Linked DNA regions of Drosophila melanogaster. The protein of the gene in region 1 interacts with the protein of each later gene in a pairwise test. Each region holds a gene or a part of one and is shown in the gene's direction. Other genes may lie near its edges.

The links.
Region 2: the proteins of CG13857 (region 1) and Sod3 interact in a two-hybrid assay, tested with the Drosophila melanogaster proteins (one large-scale study listed by BioGRID).
Region 3: the proteins of CG13857 (region 1) and CG34354 interact in a two-hybrid assay, tested with the Drosophila melanogaster proteins (one large-scale study listed by BioGRID).
Region 4: the proteins of CG13857 (region 1) and Rox8 interact in a two-hybrid assay, tested with the Drosophila melanogaster proteins (one large-scale study listed by BioGRID).

What each region holds. Positions count from the first base shown.
Region 1 is NT_033777.3:22,391,678-22,395,799, reverse strand, and holds CG13857 (uncharacterized protein), read left to right. Parts: upstream 1-1,695; 5' UTR 1,696-1,793; intron 1,794-2,274; 5' UTR 2,275-2,281; coding exon 2,282-3,310; 3' UTR 3,311-3,611; downstream 3,612-4,122. Other genes in the region: CG7059 (uncharacterized protein), read right to left, coding at 3,717-3,880, 3,937-4,122.
Region 2 is NT_033778.4:11,379,941-11,385,977, reverse strand, and holds Sod3 (superoxide dismutase 3), read left to right. Parts: upstream 1-1,863; 5' UTR 1,864-1,963; intron 1,964-2,902; exon of another isoform or gene 2,903-3,046; intron 3,047-3,660; 5' UTR 3,661-3,666; coding exon 3,667-3,729; intron 3,730-3,795; coding exon 3,796-4,023; intron 4,024-4,086; coding exon 4,087-4,315; intron 4,316-4,383; coding exon 4,384-4,405; coding exon of another isoform or gene 4,406-4,409; exon of another isoform or gene 4,410-4,949; coding exon 4,950-5,139; 3' UTR 5,140-5,184; coding exon of another isoform or gene 5,185-5,296; 3' UTR 5,297-5,529; downstream 5,530-6,037. Other genes in the region: sprt (sprite), read left to right, coding at 1-422, 536-917. UniProt on the Drosophila melanogaster protein: Protects the extracellular space from the toxic effects of reactive oxygen intermediates by converting superoxide radicals into hydrogen peroxide and oxygen.
Region 3 is NT_033777.3:28,145,057-28,149,908, forward strand, and holds the start of CG34354 (uncharacterized protein), read left to right. Parts: upstream 1-1,823; 5' UTR 1,824-1,871; exon of another isoform or gene 1,872-1,912; intron 1,913-2,443; 5' UTR 2,444-2,915; coding exon 2,916-3,195; intron 3,196-4,852.
Region 4 is NT_033777.3:24,042,511-24,049,847, reverse strand, and holds Rox8 (Rox8), read left to right. Parts: upstream 1-1,582; 5' UTR 1,583-1,735; exon of another isoform or gene 1,736-2,058; intron 2,059-2,126; exon of another isoform or gene 2,127-2,349; intron 2,350-2,479; exon of another isoform or gene 2,480-2,660; intron 2,661-2,835; exon of another isoform or gene 2,836-2,910; intron 2,911-3,356; 5' UTR 3,357-4,182; coding exon 4,183-4,410; intron 4,411-4,581; coding exon 4,582-5,490; intron 5,491-5,557; coding exon 5,558-5,651; intron 5,652-5,702; coding exon 5,703-5,884; 3' UTR 5,885-6,792; downstream 6,793-7,337. Other genes in the region: Atg6 (Autophagy-related 6), read left to right, coding at 1-429, 484-589; CG5986 (uncharacterized protein), read right to left, coding at 760-1,362, 1,421-1,516.

The sequences.
Region 1 (4,122 bases):
GTTGGTGTTAATGAACCCTTGTAGCCTGATAGCTGTTAGTTGTTTACGTTCCGAATACCGATACCAAGATAGTACTGCCAATTCTACACTGCACAAATCCACTGGAAGTACTATACTATGATTTACTGCACAAATAAAATGTACTAAGCTAGATATTAAATATATCGTAGTAATTGGAACAGATCATTGTAAACCATTTCTCATTGATGTCAGGCCAACTAGCTAGGCAGAATTTGAATAGTCGTATATTTTAACATAACAAGATGCCATGCTGACTTTCAAATATTTTCGGGCAGTGCATCAACGACATTGTCACCTAACGTGGCTTCGTTAGGAAAGTGGCCAAGTTTGATGATCCGCAGGCACGCGCGTTTTATATTTAGCCCCACACCAGGGCGACTGCGATCCTCGCGCCAGAGGCTTCGAGGAGCGGGGCTAGTCACGTGCACAAGGACATTCCAAGGCTAATTACGTGTGGCATGGGGCTTGGCCAAGTTGGGTACTTCGGGTTCGGGCTTGGGTTTGTGTTTGAGCTTGGATTTGGGCTTGGTTCTTAGCTGGACTCTGGGATAGTGCCTTGAGTTGGGTAATAGTAATACACACATAGAACACGAACCGTTCGTTATTGTCGTCGCTTGTTGCGGCAGTTGCCGCAATCTGCGGCATGTATCTGTATCTTTTGCATCTGCGTGGATGTTACTGCTCCTGCTGCTGCTGCAATCGCCGCTTAATTAGCTGCGTAATTTATTATTGCTCTAATCTCAACGCCGGCGCCAGTGCCGTTGGCTTTGACAAATAAACAAATTATTCATATTAGAATATTAATAGTGCCTGCAGGGGTTTATCTGCACCGGAGTATGTGGAGTATCTGGCATAATTATGACCTGTTTGACAGACTGTTCTCTCCTGTTCCCTTTTCCTTTTCCTGGCCAGCCTGGGATTCTTTGGCTGGCATTACACTGGCTCTTGCCTGGTAATCGTTAGGCGGACAATAAAGTTGCACACTAACTAAATATGTAGGCACGCCGATGCAATCGCACAATTATGCTCAATTATGCAACTGGGAAGAGATCTTTAGATCAGCAGAAGCAGGTGCTTTAAGCAGGCACTAGGTGCTATCTGCTTGGTGCTAGGTGCCATGTGGAATGCAGGGCGGATATCATTGACTAATGAGCCCATCTCCGACTCAAACTCGACGTCTTCTTTTGCCCTGTCATAAAAATTAAAATGCATAATCGCGGGCGTTTCTCGCAGGGCTCTTGTTACACCAGTCGAGAGACCTTTTGCCGGTATAATTAACATTGCTCGCGATTCCACCAAGCTGGCTAGCAAAATGCAGCAAGTGCATGTGGATATTTATATAATTTGCAGCTGTCAGGTTTATTCACAGTCGGGGCTAATTAAGCCGGCGTTTAAGCCGCTGGCAATTAGACGATTTATCACTTGCCACAGAACCTCAAAATCATGCCCTTAGATCGCTGAGAAAGGCCAAGCAAATGCAAACAAACTTATGGCCCAAACACTCTGCTTACCACACACTTAACCACTTCACTTCGCTTCTTCAATGCTGCGCATGCGCAGCTCCCGTCGACGGCGCCGTCGGCAGAGAGTTGGGAACCGGGAATGCGGGGATTCTGGCCAGGCCCCCATATATAAAGCGTCGATTCTGGCCGCGATCACACTCATTTCCAGTTGAACGCGCCTGCCGACCAGTGGGCCAATTGATTCGTTAGCATTTCGATTAGGACTCTTCTGCTAAATTAAGAAATCACCGATCTTCACTTACTGACCAGGTAAATTTTTGTACATAAAGTGTTTGTGGAAAAAGTGTGAAAACATCAAACATAAAATTAAGGGTAATTGTTTAAAATTGCCGATCAAAAGGTGAAAAAAATTAAAAATTTTTGAATGCGAACACATACTAAGCAAAGAAATGGAAAAACAGCGGCTTTACTTCAGAGTAGAATACAATTTAATAAGTAGATATTAGTAAACCAAAAGTGCCTACTTTATTTAATTATGAATTATTAGCTTGGGGATACTGCACACTTCGGGGTATACTTTTTGCTCCGATCTCGGCCGGCGATGGGGCTCCAAAGTACTGGCCATATTTTTTCCGTTGTTCACTTGTGCTGGTGGGGGAAAATCCGCTGGTTGCGCAATTGGAGTGTGAGAAACTAGCTCGAAGCATGCAAATCAGCTTGAATGGGGCTTGGGGTCAGTCGGGGATCGACAGAAGATATACTCACCGCCAATGCCATGATCCAATTACAGCTATCAAATGGGTAACCACATGTGGAGCATCATACTAATGCTGCTGGTGCTGGAGCAACTAGTGGCCGACTCTGTGGCAGCCAATCTAGCCCAGCTGGTGAAGAAGCAGAGCCAACAGAAGCAGTTGCAATCCTCGCAGCCAGGACTGCAGGTGGGACAACAACAGTCGCAGGGACAGCAGATCCACACGCAGCAGTATGTCCAAGACACATTGGGCGAGCAGCAGGATCTAAAGTCGGAGGACGAGGAGGAACACGATCCCTACCAGATGATGCAGGAGTCGAAACAGGAGTCGCGATTGCCCAACTCTGCCAACTATCCCTGGAGTCCATATGCCGCACCTCAGGGCAATCCTTACGATGCCATGCCCAAGATGCTTCCCTTCATTGGCTATGCCCAGCCAGTGCTCATACCCGTCCCACTCTACCTGGCTCCGGATATGTTCTATCCCGCCTTTTCTGGCGCCAGCAACGATCTCGAGGATGTGGTGATGTCACGAGCCTCCGGTGGTCGGCGTCCTGGGGCCAATCACGCGTCATCAGCCCGCAATTCGCCCATCTACTACGTAAGACTGCCGCCCACACCGTATATGTTTTTGCCCAATATGCCAACGGCTCCATTTGGGGGTGGATTCTCACCACTGCTGACCTACCAGCCCATGCCCTCATTCTCCGCCTACGGTTCGGTATTCAATTTGCCCGTGAACTTCCTGGCCAACGGAAAGCCCACTGGAGTCTACCAAGTGAACGGATCTCCGGGTGAGGCGATGGGATCCCTGACACCTGGCTTGGGTGGCGGTGGATATGGAATGCGGCCACCGACGCCTAGTAATCCCTACAGACCCATGTCGTCGCCTTCGATGGGTGGTTATGGAGGCTCTCAGCAGAGCTTTGGACTCGCCTCCATGCCGGTTCCTCAGCAGGACTCCAAGCTGACATCGCTGAAGCGTCCGTTCGTGTTCAACGGTCGTCCCGAGGACATATACATCCTGCCAAACAACTTGGGTCCGCTCTACAACGAGCAGAGCTACTACTAATTGCACTTCAGGCAAATGGCTGTGGCAACAACTGAAAGTATTACATAATGCATTTACTAGATCGTCTTTTCGATCGTAACGAAGCTTGAGAAAAACAATTTAATAAACTATACACTTGGAAAAAATGTTTTTTTTTTTTTGGTGTAGCATCCAATTTGACGTCATACAACGAAATAGCTTATTTTTATTATATTTATGTACGTATATGTAATCTTCTCCATCAATTATATTTTGTATAAATTGTATATTTTTGGCCGAAAATATCAGATGGTGTAGACCAATAAATAGTAGTCATAATATCCTTATCAGCCGATGTTCTCGGACTTTAAGCGGCAAAGGCTTAAGTAAATGCAGTCGGCCACATATCGATGTAAATTCCAAAAAAGTCGAGAGGAGTGCTCCACAATCAGTCACCAATGGCTGCCACCTGGGCTGTCTTCCGCCTAATATACTCCTGATCCCCCAGATTGATGGCAGCTCCAACCAAGCCTCCCGTTTTCAAATCGAACTCATAGACGCGTGGCACGCAATTTGGAATGTTAACCTTTTCGATGGCCTCGTTGGAGATTCCTACGGAGTGACCATCGATGTAAACCATAAGCTATTGCTAAGCCTATCTAACTTACCCTCAATGTGCTGGACGAGAGCACGGGCCACAGTTCCGTGGACGCACATTAGTACCCGGGTGCCTTGGAACACTTCCCGCCTGACCTCCTTCCACACGGGTTTCACTCGATCGACGCACATGTGAAGGGATTCCGCGAGGGGGAACTCACCGCGAGGAACATCATCGAATATGGGATTGCTGCAAA
Region 2 (6,037 bases), on another chromosome or scaffold:
ATCAGCATATCATCACCTCCATCAACACCGCCCGAGAAACCGTTGATCTTTCAGCGGGGCAACTATATTACCACTTTGGTGGGGGGCAAACCCATCGAGCTGATGGGTGACGACATGGCCTCGACACAAACCCCTCCCGGACATGTAACCAAAACACTGATCAAGGAGAATACCCACATCGATTTGAGAGATCGTCTGTCGCACATGTACTCCATGCCCTCCAAATCGCTGTCCGCCTCGAAGATCTCGATTAATAGCGATTCTGCCTATATGCAGCACCATCGACGTGATAAGGAGCGCCATCGCGATCGCCAGCACCGGGAACGCCCCAGAGATCCTCTCCAGCAACAGCAGCAACTGCATCGCGAACATCTCATGAGCACGCACGCACGCAGTGTAGAGCACCTGAATCATTACAATGGGTAGGTTATTCGCGATTCTTCGAGATTCTTGTGTAGATGTTCTAGCAAAGACAGGCTTTTTCATAGATTTAAATTTTCCTGACTAATCTCCCCGATCTTCTTCGCCATTCCAGACTGGATCGTCGCCGAGACACGCCCCGACAAAGTGAGTCGAACACACTTCGAGCCCGCCTGCCCAGCGATATGAGGAGTGTAAAATCCCTGGATTTCGATAGCGAAAACGAATCGAAGCCTGCGACTGAGACGCGTACCACTAGACCCACTCCGCCCAAGAAACCCCTCCGGCTATCGCTGCAACGAGCCCAAAGTCTGCAGACCGTGGAGCTGCACCCCTGTGCGGATATCGAACGAAAGCGGCCCATGAAGAGGGTCCACCACAACAACAACAACAACAACAAAGGTGGAGAATCACCGACTGGAGAGGGCCAGACCATGCTCATCGAGAACTGCAGTCCCATGCACACGGCTTCCCTCGGCAGGCACAAGCTCATCTAGAAACCCGATCCCAATCCAACCAAAACTAATTGTTAATCGAAGTAGCTTAATCCTCGACCGATCCTAACCGGCGGTTAAACCCAAAAAACAGGCGGACATGTGCAAAATTACAGTAGGCAATATAATTTTAACCAGCTCCCAAGTGGAAAGTTTCTTATTATGTAGTAGCAGTAGTATGTACTTACATTCTATATCTTGTATAAGTAGGGCTTGGCTATCAACATTTAGTATTGAGAGAATCAATAATTAAGAGTTTTTGTATGTACGATGATTTTATTAGCACAATTTACAAATGTGAATACACGAATATTTTCACCTACTTAAATGCGTTATTTATTTAAAAAATTCGATCCCGGCCTGCTATAAATGTGATGTAACTACAATTTCATGGCATCGGTTGGCATATCAGAAGCTATTACCTGGCAACTCATTTTCAAAGAATTTGTAGCAGTAGTTCTTCAAATTGCTTCGCCGTATCTGGAAAGCATGCCAATATTTACGACCTCCATTGTAGGCACGAGCCTGGCACATATTTTATGACGCCACAGTGATAAGGTATTCAAATGAAAAGCACGTTAGCGTGTTTCAGCTGCGCTTTTAGTAAGTTCAAAGAATTACTTAATAGCTATAATTTGGATATAATTAAAAAAAAGGCCGTTAATAGGATAATAAATATATCATCAGAGCTGGACAAAAGAATCTGATCAATCTGCAGTTGATAAAAAAAACTCAACGAGGGAGATAGAGCGATAGAGCGGTGAAGTAAGCCCGAGATAAACCTGAGAGCGGAACTCTCGCCTACGCGATCGTGCTGACCGCCAAATGCAATATCCGCCGCTCCACCTGGTGGCGCTCTCAATTCTCAATTCTGCGGTCTTCTTGCTCTCGCCAAATCTGCCCCAATGTTCTCTCAGCGAGTCGATTTGCGATGGCAATGCCAGAGGCTCGAAACAGTTCCGTCGCAGGTTTCCAACGGTACAGAGGTGCAATCGCTTAATTCTCGCAAAAAACAATCAGTACCCAATTATAAAATAGTTGCTAACAAGGTGAGTTTGCAACGGACGCGAAAAAAAAGAAGATCAAGGGCTAGTAATCGAGAATATTGGGTGAAGGTTAAGCTGAAGTTGAAGTTACTTGAGTTAATTGTAATTGTTAATTGTTCATAATTTATTGGTTTGCTTACATTTTAGAACCTGATTTAGATATATTACCCACAATTGCGTGTTACCAAAAAGAAACCAGTTACCGCAAAAACGGAGTTTACTTCACTGATTTTTGATTCTCTCATTCACTGTCCGCTCACCCTTGAGTGGGTTAAGGTAACCAGTTATTAATCCAGAAAAATGAGTGGGCAAAAATGCAGCACAGACCAGACACAAAATATTGTACATATCCATTACAATCCACACATTCCACGGCTTAAAACTTCAATAAACATTTAAATTCCCAATCGTGAACAGTTGGTTGAACAAGTGTTTACGATATTCTATCTTTTCATATATGTAAAATTATGGCTTGTTCTTATCTCAAAACTGCATAGCTTCGGCGTTTAAATTAGACGCGAAGTCTCTGTGTGTGAAATCAAGTAATCTTGGCTGTATTGTTTGCAAATTCACGAAGAGAGCCCTGCGATCAAATTGTTCAGATAAGCATCTTCATTAGCATATCGTTTCACGGTAAAACTCAAACTGAGTTATTATTTTCAAATCAATCATATTTAATCAGCAAGCAAGAGCCCTAATAAACCTTATTTGATGGACAAGCAGTGGCTATTAGTTGCAATTTGTGACCCATTTCGTGACAGTTTGAACCAGAATAAGTAAATACCTGGCAAAAAACAGATTAAAATACTTATACGTAATGACAATGGCATTTTTAGTTCCGAAATTCAGTCGCTCTACGAGCGTGAGAATCGTAAATTATGGGACCGATTCCAAGTGCAGATAAGGATACGTGTGTAGAGCAGGTACTGACCGCGTTTGAAGATCGTTTCAGAACTCGAGCGTGCAAGATCGCCAGCATATCGCAGACACATTGATAAGACCGTAAGGAAACCGGACCCATAAACAAATATTGCCCCGATAAAGTGTGACACCCATCCATTTCATTTGTGGAACTTTGGAAGCGAAGTGCGTACGAAAAAGAGATTGTTGATTGACCTTCCCGCAGCCGCACTTAACCCTGTGAAAAAGGCTGTTTGCATTTAGTTTCGTTTGGGTATCGCTCATTATTCACACACATAAATAATAATACCCGTTCGCACATCATATATGACCCACAAATCGTTTCATAAATTGAGGCTAGGCGCTTCAATTCCGCACACAACTGTCCGTTTAAATGGAATCAAGAGAATGTACACCTGATGACGTCCAAGCCAGAGATGAGCTGGAATTCAAGTGCCAGAGATGAGTTGGCATCACGGAATTTGAGATTACAAGACATAAACCCTCCTAGCATTTCCCAAAACTGAAAGTATTTGGTTCCAAATCATTTAAAGCTTTACTATAAAGCATTATATAAATAGTTTTGGAAGATGTTTTTAATATTGAGTCCATATCAATTATCGAAATTTCAGGATTATCATTTAGTTCATTTTTAGCTATGTCCAGTAGATCATCCCTGGTGGGATTTTCTCTGCTTGTGCCACTCAATTTAAAATTATTTATTTATAGACATTTAAACATTTCTAACATTTGCTATCCGAGTCGTACACGTGTCTAATTTAACTATGATTTCCTTGCAGTTCAAAATGATGCAATATCTTGTTGTTAGCCTGGCACTCTGTGCCACAATTTGCTCTGCTGCGCAGACGGTAAGATATATAATCTCGTTAATTTGAAAATCCACTTATAATTAGGACACTGAACTTACTTTGCAGCGCAATATGCCCATTCAAGCCATTGCCTATCTGATTGGACCCGTGCAATCGGATAATACCCAGGTCAAGGGCAACGTGACCTTTACGCAGAACGACTGTGGCCAGAATGTCCATGTGCGCGTCCAGCTGGAGGGATTGAAGGAGGGCAAGCACGGCTTCCACATTCACGAGAAGGGAGATCTGACCAATGGATGCATCAGCATGGGTGCTCACTATAACCCCGATAAGGTAGATGCGGGATTCTTTATAGGATTAGGTGTCTAAATCACTAATATAACTTTTATGTCTCAGGTTGATCACGGTGGCCCCGATCACGAGGTGCGTCATGTTGGCGATCTGGGCAACCTGGAGGCCAACTCCACGGGCATTATCGACGTTACATACACGGATCAGGTGATCACCTTAACTGGCAAGCTGGGGATCATTGGCAGGGGAGTTGTTGTCCACGAATTGGAGGATGATCTCGGTCTGGGCAACCACACGGATTCCAAGAAGACCGGCAATGCAGGCGGCCGCATTGGTAAGTAGTCAGTGTAAAATAATAAAATAATAATAATAATAAAATATTTGTTTTAAACCTTCTTTCAGCCTGTGGTGTTATTGGCATCAAGTAAATATCCCTTCCAACGTGTCAGCCAAATCAATATGCTGCTCGAATACTTTATGTGTAGTTGTGTAACTCCAGGCGTAGTAACTAATGAAATGTTTTCCCAATTTTCCCAATTCCCCCACCCACAATCACACTCACCCTTACATGTTTGGCTTACACATTTCCCTCAATTAATTGTCTCAGTTCACTGACTCACTCGATTTGCCGTGTGTGTGTTTGTGTGTAATAAAATCAACAAAAATTAACCGAAATCTAAGCTAAACATTAGCATACTCTGTACCACTTGTGTTCTACCACCTCATATTCATGGCCTAAACAAACTTTCGCGCTTTGCTGGGGTTGCTTTTCCGAGTGGGTAGGTATGACAGAGAGCCTTTTTACCTATCATTTTTACTAACATCATTAGCATTAGTCGGTCGGTCGGTCGGTCGGTCGGTCGGTCGGCGAAGAGAAGGGGATATTGGAATAACAACTGCCGCTGGAATCGGAACTTTACTGATCCAACCAGGGTTCAATCAAAAAACTCACATTGTATGTTTTCCAGTGGCCCATCTGTACCTGCACCTGCACCACCAACACCACGCCATCAGCCACTGTACTATGTGCCCCATGGGGAGCCACAAGATCATGTTGTCTATCCACTCCAGCACTATCCTTTGCCATACCCACACCCATATCCATATCCGCACCCATACCCCTATCCGTATCCGTTGTCGCACCAATTGTATCTGTGAGATCGCGAGACTACACCGTTCGCCTGTTCCACCTTCTAATTGCAGCTCGGATGTGGACGAGTGGCCATGTCGCGATGGTGGCGCCGGCGCCCTGCGCTACTCCTTCTCCATCCTGACCGTCATCGTGGCCCTCATCATGGCCCGCAGCCTTGACTAATCCGAAACATGCACCCGGATCGGATCGAATGCACGCATGTGGCATGGGATTGTTGGCCATCGTAGTGATCTGCATACCTACTTACACACTAACCACACAACCATGAGTCGCACACCACTACCAACAGTAATTATAATACTCCAGCATTATCCACCCAAATAGAGAAATCAAAGGAACTAACTAAGCTACTTGTAAAGTGTTTGAATTGATCGATAATAAAGTTTGTTATTTGTATTTCGGGTGCTTGCAATTTGTACGTGCTTAGATAGTAACAAAAGTTGCTGAAAATGAACGACAGATAAGGGTTAGCTCTAATTTTATAAAAAAGATTAGACAAAGTGTTTCCAATGGACTGTTAGAATTGCACATAAATCACAGTAGTAGTAAGTTATCAAGAGAATTAAATATAACTTCAATTTTGTATGTTGATTTCTAAGGACAAATAGCTGTTTGTTCCCTAAAATAGGTTACCAAATAAATGAACACTCAAAAAGTTGGTAGGAAAACTATATATAGAACTTCGACGTCACCAAAGCTTTTCCTACCCATACACCTTTATGTGGCTGCGAATGGGTCATATAACATTTAGTTGCCTTTGATTTGCTGAATTCCAGCTTAGAGCCACAATTTGCTTTAAATTGCGGAAGCCTTCAGAAAATATTTGTGCTCCAATCATTCAGAGAACTCCAATTCCCAGGGATTTTGATTCCAAGCCGCCGCAACTAATGGTCAAGCAACAGT
Region 3 (4,852 bases), 5.8 Mb from region 1:
GAAAGAGTGGGCCAAACAAGAAAGAAACTCGTCTTTTGCATCGCTCTAACGGCCTCTTCTTATTGTTTACTTCACTTTTGTTATTACGTGAAGTTGCTGCTGTTTTTGTTGCATTTAAGCACATGCAATATACACTAAAAGAAAATCAGGATTTTCTTCACAAATATAAACATAGATTTACAATTGAATCGAAATGTTTTGTAGAAGTATCGTTATGTTTACTCTTGAGATCCCTAGAATTATATGTAACTTTGGTTTTAAACTGAACGTTTTAAGCTGAATCCTTAGAATTTTATTTATTTTTTAAATAAATATAAAGTTGAATCATTTTTTTCGAGTACTTCTGTGAGTTGGTGAGCAGGGAGAGTACATTCAAGACCCGTTGTCCGCTACATGAGCTATTCTATGGACACTCGACGTCTCTGCCGTGCGACGTTGATTCTATGCTAAATACGAGCAGAACAATGATAATGTCGCATGGTAAATTACATGTAATTATGTATTTTACCAACATTTCCCCATTTCACTGGCGACTCCTCCCCAGCCCAGACACTTTTTCGAGCACTGCTCTTTGCAACATTACCTCAGAACACCGTCGTCCTGTCGCTCGCTGTCCCTGTCACCGCTGTCGACACGAGAAAGTATGTTAATAACGCAAAAAGAGGAGTAATAACGAGGAGAAAAGAGTGCAATAATAGGGAGATACACCTTAAATTGCATCCTTTTTGTTGTCCTGTTTGGATTTAGTTCCAGGGCTACAATTAACGCAAGGCAATTGGCAGCAGGAGAAGCAAAGCTTCTCATGCAATTAATGGTATGTAGCTTATACAAAACATTTCATATTAGTGAAACTAAGTAATAATAACTTCAAAGGTTGTTGCTTTTATCTGACCCTTTTTCACAGTGTTTAGCATATAAGTGTGCTTACAATTGTTGAAAAGCTATTGCTGCTTTATCCTAGTTAGATATTATATTGTTAGATTAGTTTTAAAAGTTAATATTTTATGACCACTTGGACGCAAGGATGGATTCAGATGAAAAAGAATAGAAAATATTAACATCAGCTGGCTGTTCTTAACATTTGCCTTGTCCTGCAACGTATAACAGTTTTCAGGGCATGCCATAAAAATACTGGTATTTTCGAGTGACGAGGCGCAAAAGGACATTTCTGAAGGTTCTATTTAAAGCGACAAGTGGTACGGAAAATCATTATAAAAGCTCTGACTAAATTGGAAACTGAATTTTTACATGTAGATATTACGATTTTAATTTAAAGATATAACATTATATTTTTATTTAAATTATAAATCAGAAAACAAGCCTTGGCAGTCAATTTCAAATGTGGCTGGCGCTTTCGAAAAGCCTGTGCTCTCGGCTGCTCGGATTCTGCGCTCTGTGGCGACGGGAGCCGAAAGGACCTGAAAGGACGAGGCTTGCGACTTGTGAATGGCGCCTGGAGCGAGGAAACGAGCCAGTTGGGATGGCGAGAGGGACGGAGAGAGGGCCGGAGAGCAAGGATTCAGCAAGGAGCAGGCGGCGCGAGTGAGAGCGAGCCATTCGTGAATATTTCATGAACGATGGCTGCGATGGCAGCCAGCTTCGTGCCGCCGTTAACCGAACTCCTCGCCGCCGAAGAGAAATGTAGGGAAACGCATCCCGTCGTCGTCATCGACGGCAGAGGCAGCAGCAGCAGCGGCGACAGCGATTTTCACAGCAGCAGCGACAGCGGGAAAATCGGCAGCCTTTCTGCCGTCGTTGCAGTGGCAGCAGCGCCTCCGAATTTTGGCCAATGCGTGTGCTCCTGGCGTTCAGTAAGAAAAGCGTCGCCCAGCGGTCTAGTACGAACGTATACCGAACGCTTTGTATATCCTGTAAATTATATCCTGTGTGTGCGATTGATCACGTCGGCCTGGTTCGTGCGTAGTTCGAAACATAGACTTCACACCTTGCCTTGCCGTAGTGGCAAATTATTCTGGGCTTTGGGCTAGAACCTATTATTTTTTAAAGATCACTCAATCTTAACCTATACACGACATTTATTAAGCTGGTCTTATCACGCACTTGGAGTCAGTGACTTCTAAAGTTGCCAGCAAATTCGCGCGCGACAAAAACTCAGAGGCTGCCGGCAAAATAATAATTGCCATTGCAGCCAGCTACTTGAAACTTTCCCAGCGACTTTGAACCGGCTGAGCAGGGCTTCACTTTTTTGTTTGGCATTTTCCCCTGTTATTTTCTCACATATTTTCATTTTTTTTTTTTTTTTCATATTTTCGTTTTCTTTTTTGGCCTGACATTTTACATACCAGACATTGATATTAAAACAGAAGACGTCTGGCAGGCAGAGAACTGAACTCGTAGTACTACTCGCATGACAGGAATATTTATAATTTCCGCTGCCAGCAGACACAACAGAAAAGAAAGAATAATTTGCGATTACTGGCAGGCAGAAGGCGAAGGAAATCCCTGAAACGATATTACAAGCCAAGTGCGCTTGAGTTCGTGTATTTCCGGTTGAACAAACACATAAGCGAAACATAAAAGAAAGGCGAAAAAAATATACTTACATATTTTCCACATGCCCCCATACTTACGTCGATATATATATATATACATATATGTAGTACATAAATAGAGTAACCAGCCAGCACGAAAAGTGAAAATACATAGAGGCGAAGCAAGGCGAGAGCATATTTCATAAGTTTGCACTCCGCACACATAGAAAGTAGAAAGCAGCGACGAGAGCCAGAGAAAGCTGGCGACAAAGGCTAACGCACGACCTTTGGCACCGAGTTCAGATCCTGCGGAGGAGTCAGCAGCAAATCAATAAAGACAAAGACTCCCAGCCAGAGCAACTGCATCACCAGCCAACCCAGCTTCGCTTCCCGAGTCCAGCGACCAAAATTCACTCGCAAATTATGCTGACCATGTCGACCCTGATGATGCCAGCACCGACCATAGCCATGGGTGCCCCGCAGATCACAATGGGTCCGCACAAGCCGCCGGAAACGAAGCTGTTGGCCATCCATCCCGCTGCAGCGGCCGCAGCAGCCGCCCAGCAGCAGCAGCAGTCGGTGACAGCTGCTCATTTGCAGCACAATGGCCAACAGCAGCACTCGCAGCAGCAACAGCAACAGCAAATGTCGCAACAGCAACAGCAGCAGCAGCAGCAGCTCGTGGGCAACAACTCCAAGCCAGGTGAGTGGAAAAGCGAGTTTCCCGGGGTGAATGTCCTTTTCGTCCCGTTTCGGTTCTCGGTCTTGGTCTCGGTTTCGTTTTCGATTTCGGTTTCGGCGCAATTTCCACCGGCAAAAGGTGTTGCATAAATTGAGAAATGTCTCTGCCACTTTGCCCCTGAGACGTGTTTCGAATGCGGCAGACAACGATCTGCGTTTTGTTCTGGGGGGTACTATTCGCATCAACAACTGGAATAAATTTTCAATAGACAACGATTTCATTCAGCGACTAAACTTGTGTTTATTTGCAATATCAAAACTTAATTAAATGCATCATAACGGACTGGGCTGCAACCAAATAACCCAATTTTCTTTCTGATATTGGGAATGAAGGCAAATCTATGAAAATTGACAAATATTTTTGCCTAATTTATTGAAATGTCTATATGAAAACTCTGGGAAATGCAAACCGTTTAATATCATGTAAAGACCAATAAATCAAGTATTATTCTCAACAAAAAAAAAAACAAAAACGCCATCATAGTCATTTGCAATTCTAAACGTATTCAGATTGGGCTTCAGTTAGGATTTAATTGAATGAATTTTATTTTGCGATATAATTGCATTTCATTTTCAGCCAAGGATTTGTGCAGGCTTAAAAAGTTAGCAAATCATTCAAACACGGCCATGGCAAAAAATAATTTATCCTATTAGTTGTATCCTAATGAAATGCTGTTTGTGCTAAAATGTGTTCTATTTGTCAAATTTGTGCATTTATCTTAAAGAGCAATAAATTAGAGTATGCAAAATAACACAATATGCTACATATTATATATAATAATAAAATGCGAAACTTTAAAATAAACTAGAATTCAAGTGCAGCAAAAACTTCAAGCAAAAGCTCAGTTAACAACAACCTCTAGAGAAATAACAACAGCTTACGTATTCACAACAATGTCTGAACAATTACAATTCAAACCAAAAAACACCCCAGGCGATCGATATCAGGGCACGATAACGTACATATTTATAGAAATTTTGTATGCGTCAGATGGCCAAAATCATACTGGCAACACATTCAATTAAACGTGGCCCAGTCAGTCGGAAGTCAAGGAGGCAGATTTCGAAAATACCAATAGAGCACACGTATCACTTTCGGGCAGTTTTAAATGAGTAAAATTCCAAGGGGCCAAATTCGCACACGTAATCCGAAAAATAACAAACTCGAACACGCATTTCAGAGATGAATTATTGTGGACACCACCCCTCTGGGCTGAAAATGTCAAGCGTAGGCATTACAAGCATAAATATCAGTTACAATTTTCATATTTTTAACCACAAATGAAAAATTTGATACAGCTTGGGCAGGCAGGGGAAATTGCATGCCCGTAGAGATTTACAACTTAAAAACAACTTAAGCCGAAACTTGGAAACAAAGGCAGCAGCGATAGAGACAGAAACTGGGACTATTCTCCAATTTGTTGGCTCTACCAGCCCCGGCCCCAACAACACCCCTAAGTCCCTCAAACCGACAACGGTTGCTAATGGCAAAAACTATACACAAATAGACACTGGCAGGCATAAAACCGGAAACAACGGCACAGGAAGCTGCATGAAAATGAAACGAGGAAAAGCGGCCAGGCAAACCAGCCGGCCTGACTTTGGGCTGTAATGAAAAA
Region 4 (7,337 bases), 1.7 Mb from region 1:
ATTCAACATCACCTTTCACATCTGGCATGCCGGGCATTTCGGTACCATTAATAACTTTAGGCTGGGTCGATTGCCCTCTGTATCCGTGGACTGGTCAGAGATCAACGCCGCTTGGGGCCAGACGGTGCTTCTGCTCTCTGCGCTTGCTCGTAAGATAGGGCTCACCTTCGAGCGGTATCGTGTAGTACCCTTTGGAAATCATTCGTATGTTGAGGTGCTCGGCGAGAATCGAGAGCTCCCGCTTTATGGCAGCGGCGGATTTAAGTTTTTCTGGGACACCAAGTTTGATGCTGCCATGGTAGCTTTTCTCGACTGTCTTACCCAGTTCCAGAAGGAGGTCGAGAAGCGCGACACCGAGTTCCTGCTGCCCTACAAGATGGAGAAGGGCAAGATCATCGATCCCTCCACGGGAAATTCCTATTCTATTAAGTAGGTTTAGAAATGGTAAAGATTTTACCTATAATAATGATGGTTTCCTTACAGAATCCAGTTTAACTCGGAGGAGCAGTGGACCAAGGCACTGAAATTCATGCTAACCAACCTGAAATGGGGATTGGCCTGGGTTTCTTCACAGTTTGTGTCACCGTGATTTTTCTTTCTCTTTTAAATGTATATTTATAAATTACTTAATTATCCCCATAGTATTAAATCTAAATCTTTCAAATTTTAAATGAGAAGTATTTATATTGTTATGTTTATTTCAGGTAAATTTTGAAATAAGAACGTCTTTGGTACATACTTAATTCAAAAGTTATTTATCTAGTTTTGTATAGCTTTTTTCTGTGTTTTTGGCTCCTCCTCGCTGTCGTCAGAGTCAGAGTCGGATCCAGAGATGTCATCGTCTATCCAGAGTGTGCCCTTTTTCTTCTTTTTTGCCTTGGTCTTGTCTACGGCGGGGGATTTCCTCTTTGTGCCACTGGAAGTTGCTTCCTCGACGCCTTTCTCCTTGTTCTCCTCGGCCTGCTTGAGTCCCTCCTCGAAGGCGTCGTTTACCTTCTCGGTCAGATTAGCCCTGGCTTCCTCGTACTTATCGTCCTTAAAGTCGTGCTTGGGCACGGCCAGCAGTTTCTCGATTTTTCGCTTTTTACGCTCCTCGGCCTCCCGTTCCCGTTCGCCCTGCTTCTCCAGCCAGGCGCGCACCCGCTTCTCCTCGTTGATATCCCGCAAACGGCGACCACTTAGATCGCGGCAAGCCTCGCGATTGGTTGTCTTTTCAATTTGCGCACCAATGGCTCGAAGCATGGAACCAAATCCTCCTTTGCCACCGAGCTGGCGGAGAACGCAGTGAACATCTCCAGATGAAATTTCTCCCTCCAAGCGCTTGCCATTGCTGACTAAGTAGTATTCCCCTGGTTGCAGGTTCTGTAAAAAAAAGGGCCACATTGCAAAATCTTATGAAAATTATACATAACATACTCACTGTTTTCTCCGCAATCCGACTGTAAAGCTCATCACATTTAACGTGATCTCCACAAGAAATTATATATTTACTGTTTATAAAAATATTTATGCCCATTTCGACGACCTTTTCGATAACGATTGTTATTTCTAGTCTGCTTTGTGCTGCATTTGCGCCCGCGGTGAGTGTGTTAGAGAGAGAAAGCGGTGATGCAAGCGTTATCGCCTGCCCTAGGGTTGCCCCCTTTTCGATAACGTTGCTTCAAATAACTTAAAGTCGCGAATTAATGTGTGATCCTTGTCATATTATCGCTGAATTTCCATTAAATACCCCTACGTAAGTAATTTTATAAAAAAATCTTGTCAAGTCCATACTCTTTATTGCATTTCCCATCTTGCCGCCATTGCGTTTTTATTTCTCAGCAAGTTGGCAGCCCTGGCTCTCGCACACAAAATCTCATTAATTAGTTCGCATTTTAGACGACGAAGGTAAAATTTTAGCGACGCGTTCAACGTACATTTGCAGCCCCTAACAACTTTGAAAGTTTCGCAAAATTAATACAAACCGGTAGCGGCTAAACTTGACCGTCAAATGAAGTGTGCGAACAGAGTGCAGAGCAAGTAAAATGCGGTAAATTTACAAACGCAGCCACGTCACAGAGAGCGCATTAAAGAAAAAAGAAGAGAGTGCGAATTTTGACAGCGAAATTCGAGTCTGAACAATGGACATTAAGCGAATGCACTATAGTGCGGCGGGGACGATAATTGTTAAGCCCAGTTTTCGGCACCGCTGTCAGGCAGCAGGGTCGGGGCGGAGGCGTGGCGGTTGTTGGTGGCGGGGGAGCGGCATTAAAAGATGGCAGCACAAAAGCGAACAAGATACATACATATACGTACATATAGCGGCAAGCTGAAAAGGCAAATGAAAAGTCCCGCATTCAAATCGTCTTGGTATTGGTATATTGGCATTAGTTTAAATACACTCAATAGCCAAAAGCGGAAAAAAGCAAAAGCAAAAGAAAAGTGGAGACTCATGTGAGGAAAACGCAAACAAAAAGACCAGCGCAAGACGCCTCTCTCTGCGTGTGTGTGTGTGCGTGTCGGTGCTAATGTGTCAGTGTGTGTGCGAAAAAGAGACGAAGAAAATAAGCAGCAAATGAGCAACCAAAACCACCCCGCCATTCCCTTTTCGCCGTCTCTTCAGTTCTGTGACTTTGACTGACATTTTCTAGCGCCGCCGCCGCAGAAATAATCAAAATCAAGTTTAGTTCTATGCAAATTAAAATTTGATTTCGCAAAGTGTGAAGAAGAAGAACACGAATCTAATGCAACCGTGTGTGTCACCCGCCCGCCGGTTTCGCAAAATTTCCCACATCTTTCTCTTCCTTTTCCCTGTTTTTCTTTCTCCTCATTTTGTTATCGACGGTCATTCATCTTCTAGTCGATTTTCGTCGTTCTCCTTTCGCCCTCGTCTCGCTGGCGTGCCTGAGTGTGCATTTCTGTGTGCTGTGCGTGAGTGGCCCAAAAAAAAATTTGTAAATGTGAATACAGAAATATATTAATTATAAACTAAATCATTTTGCAAGGCCCGCAAATTTGTTGCGAATGAATGGCTATTGTCAATTGTTGGCCATTCGCTTTGTTATAAAGACAGGCAGTCTCTTTCCCCTGTCCTTTCCCACCCGCCTCTCTCGCTCCGAAGATAGCTCACTCACTCTCCCCGTGTTTTTCGTGTGCGCCAGTGTGTGTGAGCGTGCGTCTGTGTGTGCGTGTCCCTGCACTGCTTTGCCGCCTTCTTTGTTCCCATCATGCGAAAAGGGGGCGGGGCGGGGTAGTCGATTTATATCCATATCATTTGCGCCTGTTTTAAGGCCCACCGATCATGTGCCATTAGACCTTGTCCCACTCTTCCGGTTATCAGCGCAAAACTAACCCAAATTTACCTCTCTCTTTTACAGCAGCAACGATTCCAGGGGTCAGCTTCGAAACCCGAAAAGTACACTCAGCCTGCGAACTTTCACGCTGTTTAACTTAGCTAACTAATTTTTGTACAAGAGCAAGAATAAGTAGTCGCAACCAAGTATTCATATGTACATTTATACAATCCTGTATATTGGAACGGACAACTATTTATAATCACAACAACAACATCCGGATCATCGAAGAAGGATCGAGCAATTCTGAAATACCAAGTAGTGTACACCAAGAAACCCCGAATCCAAATCCCAGGCCCCCAGGAAAGGAAGTCAACCGATTATAGACATATATATTAGGCGACTAATCGTATATTCCAAAACACTCCATTAGCGTTTAGTTAGGACAGATATATTTATACGTATACATATAGATGTTTAACGAAATTTTCAATTAGGCGCCAGATTAGGAACAAAATAAAGCAATAAACGACGAACCTCAGCGTTAAGCAAATAGATCAACCTACCTAGATTGAGCATATAAAGTTTATATAATCCAAAAAAATCAAGCCAAGCCGAGAGTAAGTCGAAAGTAGTAGAAAATCAAAGTATTCAAATCTCTCTTGGAGTTTCCTGTTAGCAGCTAGCACCAATTAGATTGCCGCAAATACACCTGTTTAATTAGCAGACACTTTAGATTTTGTACGTAGCTAGGAACTTAATCTGCAAATTTTTGATACATCCCCTTCCGATTAATGCGGCCAGGTGCAGTAGTTGCAATTCCGGTTTTAGTGTAGAGTCAGTAGATTGTCGCTGTAGCCTAGTGTATAATCAGATCAAAAAAGCCACAGTCCCGTGACATCCGACAGCCATGGACGAGTCGCAACCGAAGACCCTATACGTGGGCAACCTGGATAGCTCAGTGTCCGAGGACCTGCTAATTGCCCTCTTCAGCACCATGGGGCCCGTCAAAAGCTGCAAAATCATTCGGGAACCGGGCAACGATCCATATGCCTTCATCGAATATTCCAACTACCAGGCAGCCACAACAGCTCTGACCGCCATGAATAAACGCCTATTCCTCGAAAAGGAAATCAAGGTAAGCTGATTAGCTTCTCTTAAGTTATCAAGTGGACAGCGGTCATTTTCATTCATTTTGTTCGAAACTACACTCTTGCAACACACACATTCCCCACGACCAAGCCCTCATGTTATTTTAATTATGTAGAACTTAATTGATTATTACCTATTAAACGAATGCTCTTCGCAGGTCAACTGGGCCACCAGTCCCGGCAATCAGCCGAAGACAGACATCAGTTCGCACCACCACATATTCGTGGGCGACCTCAGTCCCGAGATTGAGACAGAAACACTGCGCGAGGCTTTCGCCCCATTCGGAGAGATCTCCAACTGTCGCATTGTGCGCGACCCTCACACCATGAAGTCAAAGGGTTACGCCTTCGTGTCGTTTGTGAAAAAGGCGGAGGCAGAGAACGCCATCCAGGCGATGAACGGCCAGTGGATTGGCTCGCGCTCGATACGCACCAACTGGTCCACGCGCAAGCTGCCACCACCACGCGAGCCTTCCAAGGGCGGAGGCCAGGGAGGCGGAATGGGTGGCGGACCGGGCAATGGGTCCGGTGTAAAGGGAAGTCAACGCCACACCTTCGAGGAAGTGTATAACCAGTCGAGCCCCACCAACACCACCGTATACTGTGGCGGATTCCCGCCGAATGTCATCAGTGACGACCTGATGCACAAGCACTTCGTCCAGTTTGGTCCCATCCAGGACGTGCGGGTCTTCAAGGACAAGGGCTTCTCGTTCATCAAGTTTGTTACCAAGGAGGCAGCCGCCCACGCCATCGAGCACACGCACAACAGCGAGGTACATGGAAACCTGGTAAAGTGCTTCTGGGGCAAAGAGAACGGAGGCGATAACTCGGCCAATAACCTCAATGCCGCCGCTGCCGCGGCAGCAGCCTCTGCCAATGTTGCCGCCGTTGCGGCAGCCAATGCTGCGGTTGCCGCTGGAGCGGGTATGCCCGGTCAGATGATGACGCAGCAACAGATCGCCGCCGCAACAGGAGCGGCGATACCCGGCCAAATGATGACACCCCAGCAGATTGCGGCGCAGTATCCATACGCGTACCAGCAGATGGGCTACTGGTATCCACCTGCGGTAAGTGTTGTATTCTTTAAATACGCAGTGACCTAAAGATTGACCCTAACTTTGTGCTTTTCTGCAGACTTATCCCACAACCCAGATGCAGACGCAATACATGCAGCAGGGCTACTATCCCTACGCCTACCCTACCAGTGCTCAGCAAGCGGGAGGAGTCCGTAAGTTTACTTTTCTCAGTTGCTGAATAATCGTGACCTTGGCTTAAACAGCTTGCATACAATTTTCAGCGGCTGGATACCGCATGGTGCCGCCGAATGTAGCATGGGGCGTGCCCGGAACTGTGGTGCCCGGTGTGACGGCTGCCGCAGCATCCGCGGCCGCTGCAGCGAACGGATCACTTGCCCCCCAAATGATGTACAGTGCTGCGATGCCACAATACCAGACCCAATGAGCTGAGATGTGACGCCAGCTTCGACGCCGTTTGCAGCATCCGGGAAGTCGCCCCCAGCCGCAGCCACAACCACCTCTGCTGCATCAGCTTCCGCACCTGCAGCAGTTGCAAGCGCATTACGCACGTTTAGGTTACGTACAATACCGAGTAGTAGCAAAGTCGGAGCCGCTCCTGGCCATGCCGTTGACCAGCGGCAGCAGCCACATTGACGGTGGCAATGTATCTGGAGATTATTAAGGATGCGCGAGTGTCCACTTTGAAGTTGTGGCTACGGTTGCGGCTGACTGCGGTGGAAGGAAGCGGAATCGGGTGTGGTATATAGCCCCCCAAAGTCGAACGTTAAGGCGGTGCGTGGAGCTCAACTTCAAGTGATCCACGCCGGCGACAACTGAAAGAACATCAATTGAAAAGCTCCGGGCGATGGGCGGGTAGCTGTAACAATCTAATCCAATCTAAGTACGTGTTAAATTAATTTAATGATTTCTAATTTAAGCAGATATAGGCGTATAAACGAAACGGAAATAAAATAAACCGAATGAGAAATTCAACAAAAACAAACAAATAAAAACTGAAAAGAGAAAATGCTAATTACGCGCGACAGAGTTAAAACAAAAAGAAAACAATCGAAACAAAAACGTGACAAAGCAAATTGTAATTGTAACTATGTGGAACATGTGTCAACGAAAACTGAAGACGGAAAGAGGGTAGTTTCAGTGGGATGAAAGGATAGCCGCAAGCAAGCAAGCCGAATGCAAAAACAAGAGGAAAAACAAATTTAGTCACTAAGAGAATGTAAATTCGAGCATACATATTGTATATTTCCAATGTGGAAAACGAAATGCGATATAAATATGTAAAATGTAAAATAAAGAAGCAAAAAAATATATAAAACAAGTGAGAAAACGAAGGGACGCTGGTTTTTATATTGAGGTAATGAATTAGGATGTGGAATTATTATTTCAAACTTTAATTTATATCATTGATGATAGAAGTGGTTACTACTACTACAAATCTGGTGGAGGATTCAGCGGAGTCTAAAATATAGTTAAAAAGTAATTAACTTTTACAATTGTGCTAAAAAGTTTTCTTAAGGTATAACATACATACATGAATGAATTTTATAGCTTTAATATTCTCTAGTGAGACGCAGTTTTTCTGCGAAACTAGTTTTCATGAATGCTTAATTCTTCTGCTTACTTTCTCTTAATTTAAATGCACCTGGTGATGTCAGCCGTTGCTCAATTCTCAATACACTACCAATGGTTTCCAATAGCTTAGAATTTTGTTGATGATTAAGAATGCAATTGATGTTTCTTGAAATCGATTTTATTTAGCGTATTCTATAGATTTCTTTATATATATAGTTTTATATGCATGTAGTTTTTTTTTGTATCTGTGTTTAGTAACTAGTCAAAGAACTCAAATTCCGGGTGGGCGAGCTGCGTTGAAGCTG